Rhinolophus ferrumequinum: one gene and its partners. The protein of the gene in region 1 interacts with the protein of each later gene in a pairwise test. Links are inferred from orthologs where the notes say so. Each region holds a gene or a part of one and is shown on either strand. Other genes may lie near its edges.

What was found.
Region 2: the proteins of VPS52 (region 1) and TBC1 domain family member 22B interact in binary tests that used the Homo sapiens proteins (3 or more experiments, as listed by UniProt). The link is inferred for Rhinolophus ferrumequinum from reciprocal best matches to the Homo sapiens genes VPS52 and TBC1D22B.
Region 3: the proteins of VPS52 (region 1) and RAB4A interact in binary tests that used the Homo sapiens proteins (3 or more experiments, as listed by UniProt). The two-hybrid records come from large-scale screens. The link is inferred for Rhinolophus ferrumequinum from reciprocal best matches to the Homo sapiens genes VPS52 and RAB4A.

The regions. Positions count from the first base shown.
Region 1 is NC_046286.1:3,617,767-3,621,513, reverse strand, and holds the start of VPS52 (vacuolar protein sorting-associated protein 52 homolog), read left to right. Parts: upstream 1-998; 5' UTR 999-1,230; coding exon 1,231-1,320; intron 1,321-2,133; coding exon 2,134-2,218; intron 2,219-2,363; coding exon 2,364-2,416; intron 2,417-2,602; coding exon 2,603-2,678; intron 2,679-2,868; coding exon 2,869-2,936; intron 2,937-3,243; coding exon 3,244-3,419; intron 3,420-3,747. Other genes in the region: RPS18 (40S ribosomal protein S18), read right to left, coding at 235-333, 813-815. UniProt on the Homo sapiens protein: Acts as a component of the GARP complex that is involved in retrograde transport from early and late endosomes to the trans-Golgi network (TGN).
Region 2 is NC_046286.1:7,334,422-7,338,168, forward strand, and holds the start of TBC1 domain family member 22B, read left to right. Parts: upstream 1-1,276; 5' UTR 1,277-1,384; coding exon 1,385-1,440; intron 1,441-3,747. UniProt on the Homo sapiens protein: May act as a GTPase-activating protein for Rab family protein(s).
Region 3 is NC_046310.1:27,088,350-27,092,096, forward strand, and holds the start of RAB4A (ras-related protein Rab-4A), read right to left. Parts: upstream 2,848-3,747; 5' UTR 2,608-2,847; coding exon 2,577-2,607; intron 1-2,576. UniProt on the Homo sapiens protein: The small GTPases Rab are key regulators of intracellular membrane trafficking, from the formation of transport vesicles to their fusion with membranes.

The DNA of each region.
Region 1 (3,747 bases):
CTGCCCACCCCCCTGGCGAAGTATGCTGGCTTGACCTGAGACCATTCCCTGGCTTTCCTTACTTACCTTCTGGGGTAAATGTGGGAAAGAGTTATGAGTATTAGCGATTCTCTTTTTCACCCAGCAGCTGAAGTGATTTGGTTGGGACTTGTTTCCTCAACCTTGCCTCACTTACAGCTTAAGTCTTTACAACCTAAGTTTCATTTATGCTCTCCACTCCTTACCCTACTTTACCTTAATTGCAGTGATGGCAAAGGCTATTTTCCGCCGCCCATCGATATTGGTGTTGAGTACTCGCAAAATGTGCTGGAACTTCTCAGGGATCACTAGAGACTGATAGAGATTGGGGGAGAAAGCAGACACCGTGAACGACCATCAACTCATAACCTCAAACAGGAACGTTCAACTTGTCACACAGGGAGCAATGGTCCCTCGTCAGGCTTTCACAACACAGCAAACTCCTTAGACCTGCAGACAGCAGGAACATGAAGTGTTTGGACTTGGGGAAATGCAACCTCTGGGAGAGGACAAATCTCCTGCCTTTTCCCAAAAGTACACTCTGAGTGGCGGAGGCCGGAGGTCCCCAAACGCGCCCAAGCCTTTCGCCGTTTTTGAGCGCCCGGGGAGTGACTGTTCCTCTGGCCCCACTCCCCGGAACTGGATGTCTTTAGTCGTTCCTTCCCGGGGCGCGATCCAAGGTTCCACACAGAAAGTTGCAGGCCCCAAACCAGGGTGTTCTCGGTCCGCTGATAGCAGACCTTCCCTGCCCCGGTCCGGATGTCGCCGGATCCCCGGACGGATTCGAGCCTTACCATGGCGGCAGCCCCAGTGGCGGCGTGCAGGCCTCCTGTGGAAAAGAGAGCGGTAGTGACGTAATAGTCTTATATAGTTATCAGGAGGAAGAGGCGGGACTACCTTAGTGAAGCGCTTCCGGAAACAGTTTATGCCCTAGTCCACTAGACTTCTGAGAGTCTAAATTAGTCGTCACAACTTCCGGTTCCGCGTCTATTTACAGTTCGTAAACTTTTGGGGTTAGAGAGCAGCGAAGGTTCCGGGCGAGATTGTGCTTAAGACTTCCATTTCCCATTTGTACTCGAGTGAAGTGGTTAGAGCTTTAACGCAAATATCTGGGAACGATTTCGCGCTGTGCAAGACACTCTAAGACTTGTAGTTCCCTCCGGGAAACGGACTTGCGGCGACTGACAGCTGCCGGAAGTGAGGCTGCGCGGAATGGCTGCCGCTGCCACCATGGCGGCAGCTGCCCGGGAGCTGGTATTGCGGGCCGGGGCTTCAGATGTGGAGGAGGAGGAGGGCCCGCTGGTGAGAACGCCGGGCTGTTTCTCCGGGATTTTGTCCGGTCGTCCTTGCGTCAGAAAGATCTGGGCTGGGTTTTTGCAAGAGTGGGAGCTTGGCTGCTACCGGAGGTCCTCTCCATACCCCTCCCTGGGGCCAGAATGCTGGAAACTCAGCTTCCCAGGACACAATTTCAGTTAACCTCCAGATTATGAGACAGCATAGAAAAGCAGTGCAGTGTGAAGGTTAAGAGTATGGCCTCTGGAGCCCGATTGCCTCTGTTCTAATTCTAGTTCTGCTACTTACATGCTGTGTCCTTGGGCACGTTAACTAGCTTCTCTGTGCCATCGCTTTACATACCTACCTTATAAGGTGAAGAAAATAATAAGACCTACCATATAGGTTGTTGGTTATGAGTCCATGAATGAGTATATTTAAGATGGAACCAGGCCTCCAAGTAACTATTGGGTGTTAGCTGACAGTTCTAGAAAGGCTGGAGCTCCCTAGAGAGATTGTGATATAACACCTAAGATAGCAGGAGTTTGGGGACTCCTAAATTCAACTGCAAGTTCTGCTCTGTCCTCTCCAACTCCTAATTTTTCTCAGTTGGACATCTTCATTCTCTTTGTGGGTTGTATGGCTCCTTGTCGTAGTCCCTACACTTCAGCCCCAAGTAGTAGATTGGGTACAAGGTGAGACTCTTGGAAGTTTTTGACTCAGCACCTATGGCTCCCCAGTAAAAGTTCCCCTCTCCCCCTTGAAGTATTGGCGATTATCCCATTATATTGTGTTCTCCCCCTCTTTCCGTGTATCCTTTCTCATTAATTTATCCCTCTCCAGGGGGGTGGTCCTGGTCTTCAGGAGCCATTGCAGCTTGGAGAGTTGGACATTACCTCTGATGAATTTATCCTGGATGAAGTGGATGGTAAGTGATGGCACTGGATGCAGAGCGTCTATAATCTGAGCGGCATGGGGGCTGGAAGTAATGAGGCAGGGGTTGGTGTGCAGATGTTCAGTGCGGGCAGAGGGCATTATGGAACTGAACCCTTATAATACACTTCTATTTCCAGTTCACATTCAGGCAAATCTGGAGGATGAGTTAGTAAAGGAAGCTCTTAAAACGGTAAGTCTTTCTGCTATACTAATCTGCCACGCCACCCCCTGCCCACACCTTTTTAAAGAAAAAAAAAAGGAAACAGTTTCTTGTACTTATAATGCCACCCTGATGTCTTACCTTCTGGTCCTTCATTGATTCTGTTCCAGTGTCCCTTCACTGTGACTTCCTCCTGACCTGTTTATGTTCTCCCAGGGTGTGGATCTCCGTCACTATTCAAAGCAGGTTGAGCTGGAGCTACAGCAGATTGAACAGAAATCCATTCGAGATTGTATCCTCCAGCAGAGGAAAAGGGTGGTATTATTAAAATGGGGATTTTGTGGAGCATGATGCAGACAGCCTAACTGGGGATGACATCTTCTCTCTGAGGCTTCTGTCACCTCAGGGCGAAATTGAAGAGGTCCTGAAGGCCTGAGGATCTCCATTTTCATGGTGAGCCTCCTTGACTTTCTGTGGGTCAGATATCCAAGAGAGTGAGAACATAGCATCTCTGCACAACCAGATCACAGCCTGCGATGCTGTCCTTGAGGTTAGTAAGCATGACCTGTGATCTCTAATAACCTTGAACCAGATCATGGTCTTTGGTGCCACTCTTTAGGTCATCAACCTTAGGTGGAGACAGTTAGAATCACTTCCAGGATGACCTCAGCAGCCTTTTGTTGTTATAGTTGTAACTAATGTTATTTGCTAGTGACCTTTGGGGTATCTCTTCCCTCATCACCTGCTACCCTCCTGGACTGATAGATACTGGGGACTTCACCAATGTGCTTAGGTGTCCCACGTGTCCCCTACCTACCCTGTGACACTCCAGCAACATCTTCTGCCTTTCCCCCCAGCGCATGGAGCAGATGTTGGGAGCTTTCCAGAGTGACCTGAGCTCCATCAGCTCTGAGATCCGGACACTGCAGGAACAGTCAGGAGCCATGAACATTCGGCTTCGAAACCGCCAGGCAGTTCGGGGGAAACTCGGGGAGCTTGTCGATGGCCTGGTAGTGCCCTCTGCTCTGGTCACGTGAGTTACCAGTTTGAAAGGTCACAATGTCTATAGCAGGTAGATAGGCTGGGGTGACCTAACCTATTTACCACATGGGTTTCCTGACTCCAGGTTATCAAGTGTCATCCAGAAACTGATGGTTGGGTTGACAACTGTTTCTAACCTTGATGCATGCTTTAGGCATCAAAGACTAGGAATCGTCCAGGGTCAGGCATGTAGTGAGGGGGTCCAAGGCTTATGTGGGAAGCGGGGGTCCAGGAATAGAAAACTCTGTATGTATATCCTGACTGTATGGTACAGTGTAAGAAGGGCAAGGGGACAGAGGCTGGATGTAAGTGATATGATT
Region 2 (3,747 bases), about 3.7 Mb from region 1:
TCTCCAATATGTGAAAAGACATGTGGTAGCAGTAAACAAGCCACCTCAACAGTCCTTTGTTGGGATGGAAACTATTCTGACTGGTGTGTGCTTTCTGCCCACGCCCCTCATCACTGGTGTACAGCCACAGAAACTGAAAAAGAGCAAAAAACACTGACGAGACATTCAAAGGATTCAAAATGCTAATATTAAATCTCATTCTGGATTTAAAACTAGATTGAAAATAAAGTCAAGGGTGAAAAACTGATAATAGATTAATAAGAGAAATTAAGTCTGTTTGGGTTTATATCCTTACTCTTTGTGATTCACGTCATGGAGATATATTCATGCGTCCTCGCAAGAAACATTACTTGGTCTGAATTGGATGAATACTTTGTCAGCATCTGGGTTCTGGTCAGAAAGTGACAGTTATTAGATGAAACAGGGATTCAGGGGTGTCCAAACTGCGGCCCACGGGCCAAGTGTGGCCCAGGATCCATTGTTAATTGGCCCGCAACAAATTCCAAAAATATATTTAGTTTACTTAAATAAACCAGGTGAGGCAATACGTACTTCACCTCGAGTGAGTGGCCCGGCTGTGTGTGTATTTTACTGCATATGGCCCTTGGTGAAAACCGTTGAAAAAAGTTTGGACACCCCTGGATTAGATCATTTGAACTTCACCCACAGCACAGGTCCTTCAATAGTGTTCAATGAACAGAGGAGAAGAAGATTCTCATGAACCAACCGTTACTCACGTGTTGAACAGTCAGCAACCATACGCTATCCAACCGTATTGATCTTCCTTCACAGATTAAAATATATATATATATATCGGGGTCCGAACCGAAAGGGAAACGGAGGGTAATAACCAGTGTCACTGAGCTGGGTGGGAGATTTTAAAATGGGCTGCAAATAACACATGGGACCTCATTTTTAGGTCAAGATTTACGTATATAAATAAATACATATGCTTTCTCTTCCCCAAAAATATTAGACTCCAGAACCTCATTCCCTCCAAAGAAAACTGTACCCTTTCCTCTTCCCATAGGTCCTTCACCTGCTTCTTCCAGGTTAAGGAACCTTCAGTCCCGCCTCCCTGCGGGTCCGAGCTCCGCCTTCCCGGTCCACCTGTGCGCCCAGCCCCTGACGTCACCGTTCGGCTTCAGCGGCTTGCAGGATTCCGGCTCCTGATTGGTTCGTCCGACCACGGCCTGGCAGTCCACCAATGGCAGCGGCGCTGGGTGGGGAGGTGCCCATATCCAAGATGGCGGTCCCAGCACCTAGGAGCGGGTGACCGGCAGCGGGGGAAGTGGCCTGGGTTGGCCCTCCGATTGTGGGGTCCTGGGGGCATCTCGCCGAGTACCCCCTGGCCCGCCTACAAGGCCTTCCCCGGGCCAGAGCAATGGCTGCCGAGAACAGCAAGCAGTTTTGGAAGAGGAGCGCCAAGCTGCCGGGGAGGTGAGCCCAGGAGCTGAGAGGAGGAAGAGGGGATTGGACCAAACCCTTCCGGATCCGAAGCCCTAAATCTCGCGGGCCTGGAGCTCCGCCGACCCCGGCGGGCTGGTTTGGGCAACGTGGGCTGGGGGAGCTGGGGCTGCCTGGTGGCGGCAGGGAAGCTGTCAGGATGAGGCGCAGGCAGCAGGGTTTGGGGACGGCTGGTTGTGGGAGCAGCCCCGGGTCTGGGGGTGGAGGGCTCTGGAGGGGCTGCCCTCAGCCAGACGGTGGCCGGAGTCCGGGCGTAAAAGACCCTGGAGTGGGATGAGTAGCCTGTGTCCGTCCTGGATTAGGAGGGTCAGCCCTGGAACTGCTTCTCACGTTAAAGAGAACTCTCTCTTGGGGGGGGGGTTGTCTCCCCCACACACAGGTGGTTGTTTGGACAAGGATGGCCCCTTCCCCTGCTCCTCCAGCTCTGCACGTAGGAACCTTTTTCCTGGATTCCAGCAAGGTTCTGCTGGGAGCTTGGGACCCTCTGCAGGGGGACAGGAGAAATGAGGAAAAGTCTCAGGCCTGACCTTACTTCATCTTCAGTTGGCCTTTTCCCATTAGGAATTATTACAGGGTGACCCAAGAATTGAGGTTATTTCTTTAATCTTTTCTAAGGATTTATTCAACCCCAAGTAACCCTTTACCCTCCTGCGTTGTATCGTTCTACTAAATTTTTTCGTTGTTCAGTTGATGGGTTGGAGAGCAGACCTTCTAAGCTACTTTTTTTTTCCTTTTTGATGTATGTTGAGACCCTTAACAATTGTACATCCTTCCATCTGCTGTTGGTTTACAGTTTCAATTTGTTTTGGGCAGAGTCCTGAGATGTATAAGGAGGAGTGAAGGTTCCGTCGTGAATTTAAGATTTCTGACAGCCATAGTCTGCTTGGTGATGAAATTCATGTGGGTTCCCCCACGTGCTACCTTTCCTCATTGATTGGGGTCTTTTCTTTCTGGGATAATCCTTTGAACTTGTGACCTTTTTTTTTTTTTTTTCCAATAGCAAGAGAGAAAGGGTCAATGGTGGCTATATAGCAGACTTATTTTATTTAGGATCCTATCAGACATATGGAGAATGGTGGGACTCAGCTACTAGTGACACAGTATTAAAATAATGCAAGGGAATGCAGAGATAGCTTCAGATGAAAGTGCTGTGGAATTACAGTGTTAATGTCAGTGCTAATGACTTCTATGTTTTTAGATAAGCACCACTTCCTGCCAACTGATTCCTTTTCCTTCCTGGTCTAGTGAGCTCTCCAGTCTCACTAACTGTTGTTCTCTGGGGTTTTCCATAGTGAGATCATTAAATGTTGACATCCTAAGGTTATAATCAGAATCAATGGGAGAACTGTTAAATCAGGAAGCAATAGATGAGATGTGGGACATGGCACGGTCTTTTGTGCCTGCTGAGTGCTAGTTGTTATTAACAATCTTTCGTTTTGTGTGTTTCCTATTTTGGACTATAGGAGCAGTCACCTTTTTTCAAGGCACTATTTTTGCAAGATAGAAAGAGGAGTCTTTTCAGTTTTCTCAAGTTTCTGGCTTCCTTTTTCATTTTGAAGAGGAATATAGAGGGATAGAGGAGAGATCATTTCAGTTCAGAAAGACTTGGGTTATTATTTGGACCCTTTTACCTGTGTGATTAAGGACAAATGGTTTGCTCAATTTCTCGAGGCTTCAATTTCCTGATCTATGAAATGAGGATAAAAATACTTTCCTCAGGGTTACTGTGAGGACTTAATTTAACATCCTATTTGTAAAGAACCAAGGACAGTATTTATTTAGTACATTATGGTTGCTCATTATATACTAGTAATTAGTATATTCTTACTAATTATTCTTACTACTATTATTCTTAATACTACTATTATTCTTACTACTAATTATTCTTAATACTACTATTATTCTTAAAGCAAATAAATAAACCTTTACTCAGATCCTTACCCTGGTGCTGGGTATTTATGTTCATTGTTTATCTTGAGACATCAAAGTGTTGCCATGATTGACAGTAGTTTTTATACCTTGCTTGTTGAGAGGAAGTATTGTTTAGTTATGTGTTTTTAGCAGGGAAGCCTCCAGGATCCCCTGGTTATGGGGACAACTAGTTTTAGATCGTAAGTGCTTTGATTTAAGGAAAACGTTAGGGCATTTTCTCAAGAATATAATTTTTGCACTTGTACTCTTTCTGTTTTAGTGAAGAAACACTTTCTCCTGGGTGGGGAAAGACATAGACAACTGTGTTTAGGCCCCTTGCAACCTAAAAGTGACACTAGTTTACTTTTC
Region 3 (3,747 bases), on another chromosome or scaffold:
AAGGGTGTACTGTAATAAGAATTAGCACAGGACCAACAATTTGTGTTCTTGTTCCATAATTTGTTGTAGAAGGCATAAACTCCAGTGTGTAGAGAGAGATTTACCTTAGATTTTTCCTCTCTCAAACTGCCTCGGCCCTTAAACTTTTTATTTTTAATTCATAGCATTTTCTGCATCACTTAACACTTTTTAGCTCCTTTCTGAACTCCATTGCTGGGAACTATTAATACTTCTCTGATTTGTTAGTTTTGTCTCATAAATCTTGATTATCAGAAATTACTTAAAGCTAATTTGCGATCTCCCGTGTTAGATGGCTGCAGTTCCTTGGGAAGTCCCAAGCCAGCCTACTTGGCCAGGGCTTTCAAAGTGTCATGAACCTGGTAACATTTGGGAACCACTGTTTTAGTTGACGGCTATTCAGATTGAAGGTTTCAATCTGAAACTTCTGTGTTTATTTCAATTTTCTGTTACAATAATACATAGAGTTTTCATGTGGTTAGTGGTTTCAAAGCAGCAAAATGTTGCACACTCCTCAGTCTATGAGGGGATCAAATGCTTTAACAGGCACACAGAGGGCAGACAGAGCTCACTAACGGTACATTATAAGCCTGGCTCTTCCTTTTTCATCATCCCGGTCAAGCTACACAGAGCCTTCTTTCCCAGAAGAGAGAAAGTGAGCCCAGACTAGAAAGGAGTTTAAAGATTAGGCAAATATTCCTTTACCAGCTATCCAAGAGGCAAATGTGTGGGAGGAGGGCCCCTGATTGATTTACCTTTGGGGCACAATGCTGTGCAAAAATGGTCAATAAGGGAAGGTGACAGCTTAGGACTTGGTTTGGAGTGATTTTTAATTTTAGGTTGACACTTTCAATTTCCACATTTGCTCTTTCTAAAACTTATTTTCTATTTGTTTCCTCTAGAGAGAAAGATTAAATTCTGTTGGTAAAAAGTAAAAACATGTTTGGAAGTTACCATGAAATAAGAATACTGATGGTCAAAACCTTAGGATCAAATTTAATCAGTTACTGTGATGCTCAAAAGTTTAATTCACTGTCAGAAGGGAAGCAGAGATGCCAGAGGCATGCTCCATTTTATCAAGGTTATCATCCCATATAAGAGAAATGAACTCTTCCACTCATTTCTTATTATTTCATAACCCCACTGGCTTTTCTTATTTAGACTTTTCACCCCTTTCTTGTGCTCCTTATCCAGGTTAAAGAGGAGTGTGGAGGTTAGGAGCACTTGAAAATAAAGAAAAGCAAAAGTATAATCAAACATTGCTAGAGAAATATATTTTCTTTAAGAAATTCAACAGTGGTTCTCTATGGACCACGGGGATGTGACGGGATGTGACGTACTGTAGCATTTGCAGCTCTGACTACACTGGTCCTTGTGAAGCCAGCGACTTCCTGGAGGATCTCCAAAGCCTTCTAGGGACAGACCTGCTGCAGTGCCCCCCAGTGTCACCATGCATGTACCACTCCCAGGAGTGGCAGGACATGGAGCAAATGCACTGACCCACCCACCGCTCTCGGGAGAAAGACCACATCCTCGCACGAGGTCCTCTGTGCCTCGCCCTCAGGGCTCTCCCAGGGGCTGTGGGGCCCAAGCCACACTCCCCCAGTGGAACTGCATCTCCCTCCCGGCCTGGGCCTGGGCACGTGCTGTGCTGCCGTCCCCTGGCCCCCAGCCTGGGTTAGGTTTCTTTCTCACATACTTTCACAGACCACAGGCTTCGGAACTCCTGCCAGGGGTTTTAACTAGTCACTCGTCAGTGGCATAAGCAGGTCCGCACTGAACCCCCAGCCAGACCGCCCGCCCGCCGGGAGTCAGCGCCTTCCAGCGCGGCTCCGCACGCCCGTGCACACACACTTGCTGAAGGGGAAGGAGCAGCGTGACAGCACAAACGGAGACAAAAGTGATCCGACGTGAGGTACACACTTTTGAATCCGAGCCTCTGACCTGGGCTGTAAAACTCCCAATCGGCCTCGACCTGAATGCACACGCCGTTCAGGGCGACTAAAGCGGCGCCAGCTCAGCCCCGACAGGGCGGGCGCGCACACCGCGCACTTCACTTCTGTCGCGCAGGCCTCACACCCAGACGAAAACCGCGCGTGACTCCGCAAGGCTTCGGTTTATTCAAAAGGTATGTGCTGGGCGCCCGCAGGTGTGGGCGCCGACGGGAGCAGCGGCGCGCAAACGCGGGCCCCGGTGCTCGCGAGGTGCCCGCCGTCTGGAGACACTGCCAACGTCAGGCGCAACCAGAAGGGGCTGAACCCGAGGGGACACGAGCGGGGCACACGCCCCCGAGAGCCGCTCACAGAGCCGGCCCCACCCGTGACCCCGTGCAGGAGGGGGCTCCAAGGCAGCAAAGGTCCACCGGGGCCGCAGGCGTCGCCCGAGCCCGTCACGTCCCTCGCTGGGGACAATGCCGCAGATGGAACAGCCGCGAGCCGCCTTCCCAAACCCCGCGCTACGGAGACCAGACCGCGCCGAGAGGAACCCGGGGCGTCAGCGCGGCAGGAGGCCTGGACCGGGACGCACCGCCCGCCCGCCCCCGGCCCTGCGCCCGGTACCGTAGGTCTCCGACATGGCCGTCTGCGACATCTCGGGGCGGCACCGCCTCTCGCGGGTCCCGGCGCAGCTCCGGCCCGGCCGGCGGCAGGGGACGGGCGTGGTCGTCCCGGGGTCGTCCGGGGATCGTCCGGCTCGGTGGGCAACGGCGTGGGGCGGGGTCCGGAGGACGGAGGGGCCCGCGCGGTCTCTAAGACAACCGCCCGCCACCCCGCGGCTGCGGCCCCGCCGGACTGCCCATCCGCGCAGGCGCACCAGGCCCAGTCCCCGCCCGGGGACGCGCGTGCGCACGCAGCCCGGGGCCGGGCGGGGCGGGGCGGGGGGCGGGGCGGGGCGGGGGGCGGGGGACGGGAGGCGGGGAGCCGGGCGGGGCGGGGCGGGGCGGGGCGGGGCGGGGCGGGGCGGGGCCGGTGAAGTGAAAAATTCTTTGCATCTCGGTAACTTGGGATCTTTGAGACAAAATAAATTTCTCTTAATTAATCTTGGGAAGTGCTTTCATTCTGAGGTACTGTGGGGAAAGAAAACTTACGGCAAAACTCATCTGTGTTTTTCTTCGATTATTTTCTCCTTTCTCTTCAAGGGAGGTTTGTGAAAGAGTAAAAGCAGGTTTCCAAAAGCCTAGGCACATCGAAGATTTGTCTCAGGGAAACGAAGGGAGAAGCATTTCTTCCAAAATAGATCCCACCTGCTGCTAAGTAGCTGACACTGTCCTTCTTGCTCTCTGGCAATGCCTCACGGAGCCAGCCTCACAAGGATTCCTGTTCTCCAGGACTAGCAGAGGGTCACATGGGTGGGGACAGTGGTATCTGGAGGGTGGGGACAGTGGTATCTGGAGGGACGAGTGGGGACTGATGGACAATAACTGAAGGCGCCTGGGAACACCCATAGTTGGACCTAGAACAGTAGTAGCCCCGTTCCCTGAGGGGACCCTAAAAGGCCTAGGGATGAGAATCCAGCAGCATCCTGACATTTCGGGCAGCAGTGGCTTTGGGAGCAAAGGGACATGGCATCCTTGACGGAGCTAGGCTTGGTAGAGGGCACTGGTCACAGTCTCTATGGTGACTTTCCTTGGACGCTGAGCCAACGTGTGTGTCTGTCGGAATATTTAGGGACTCAGAAATATCTGGTGTTACTTTCAGAAGAAGTCAAGTTCCACACAGGTAGGTGGAGGCT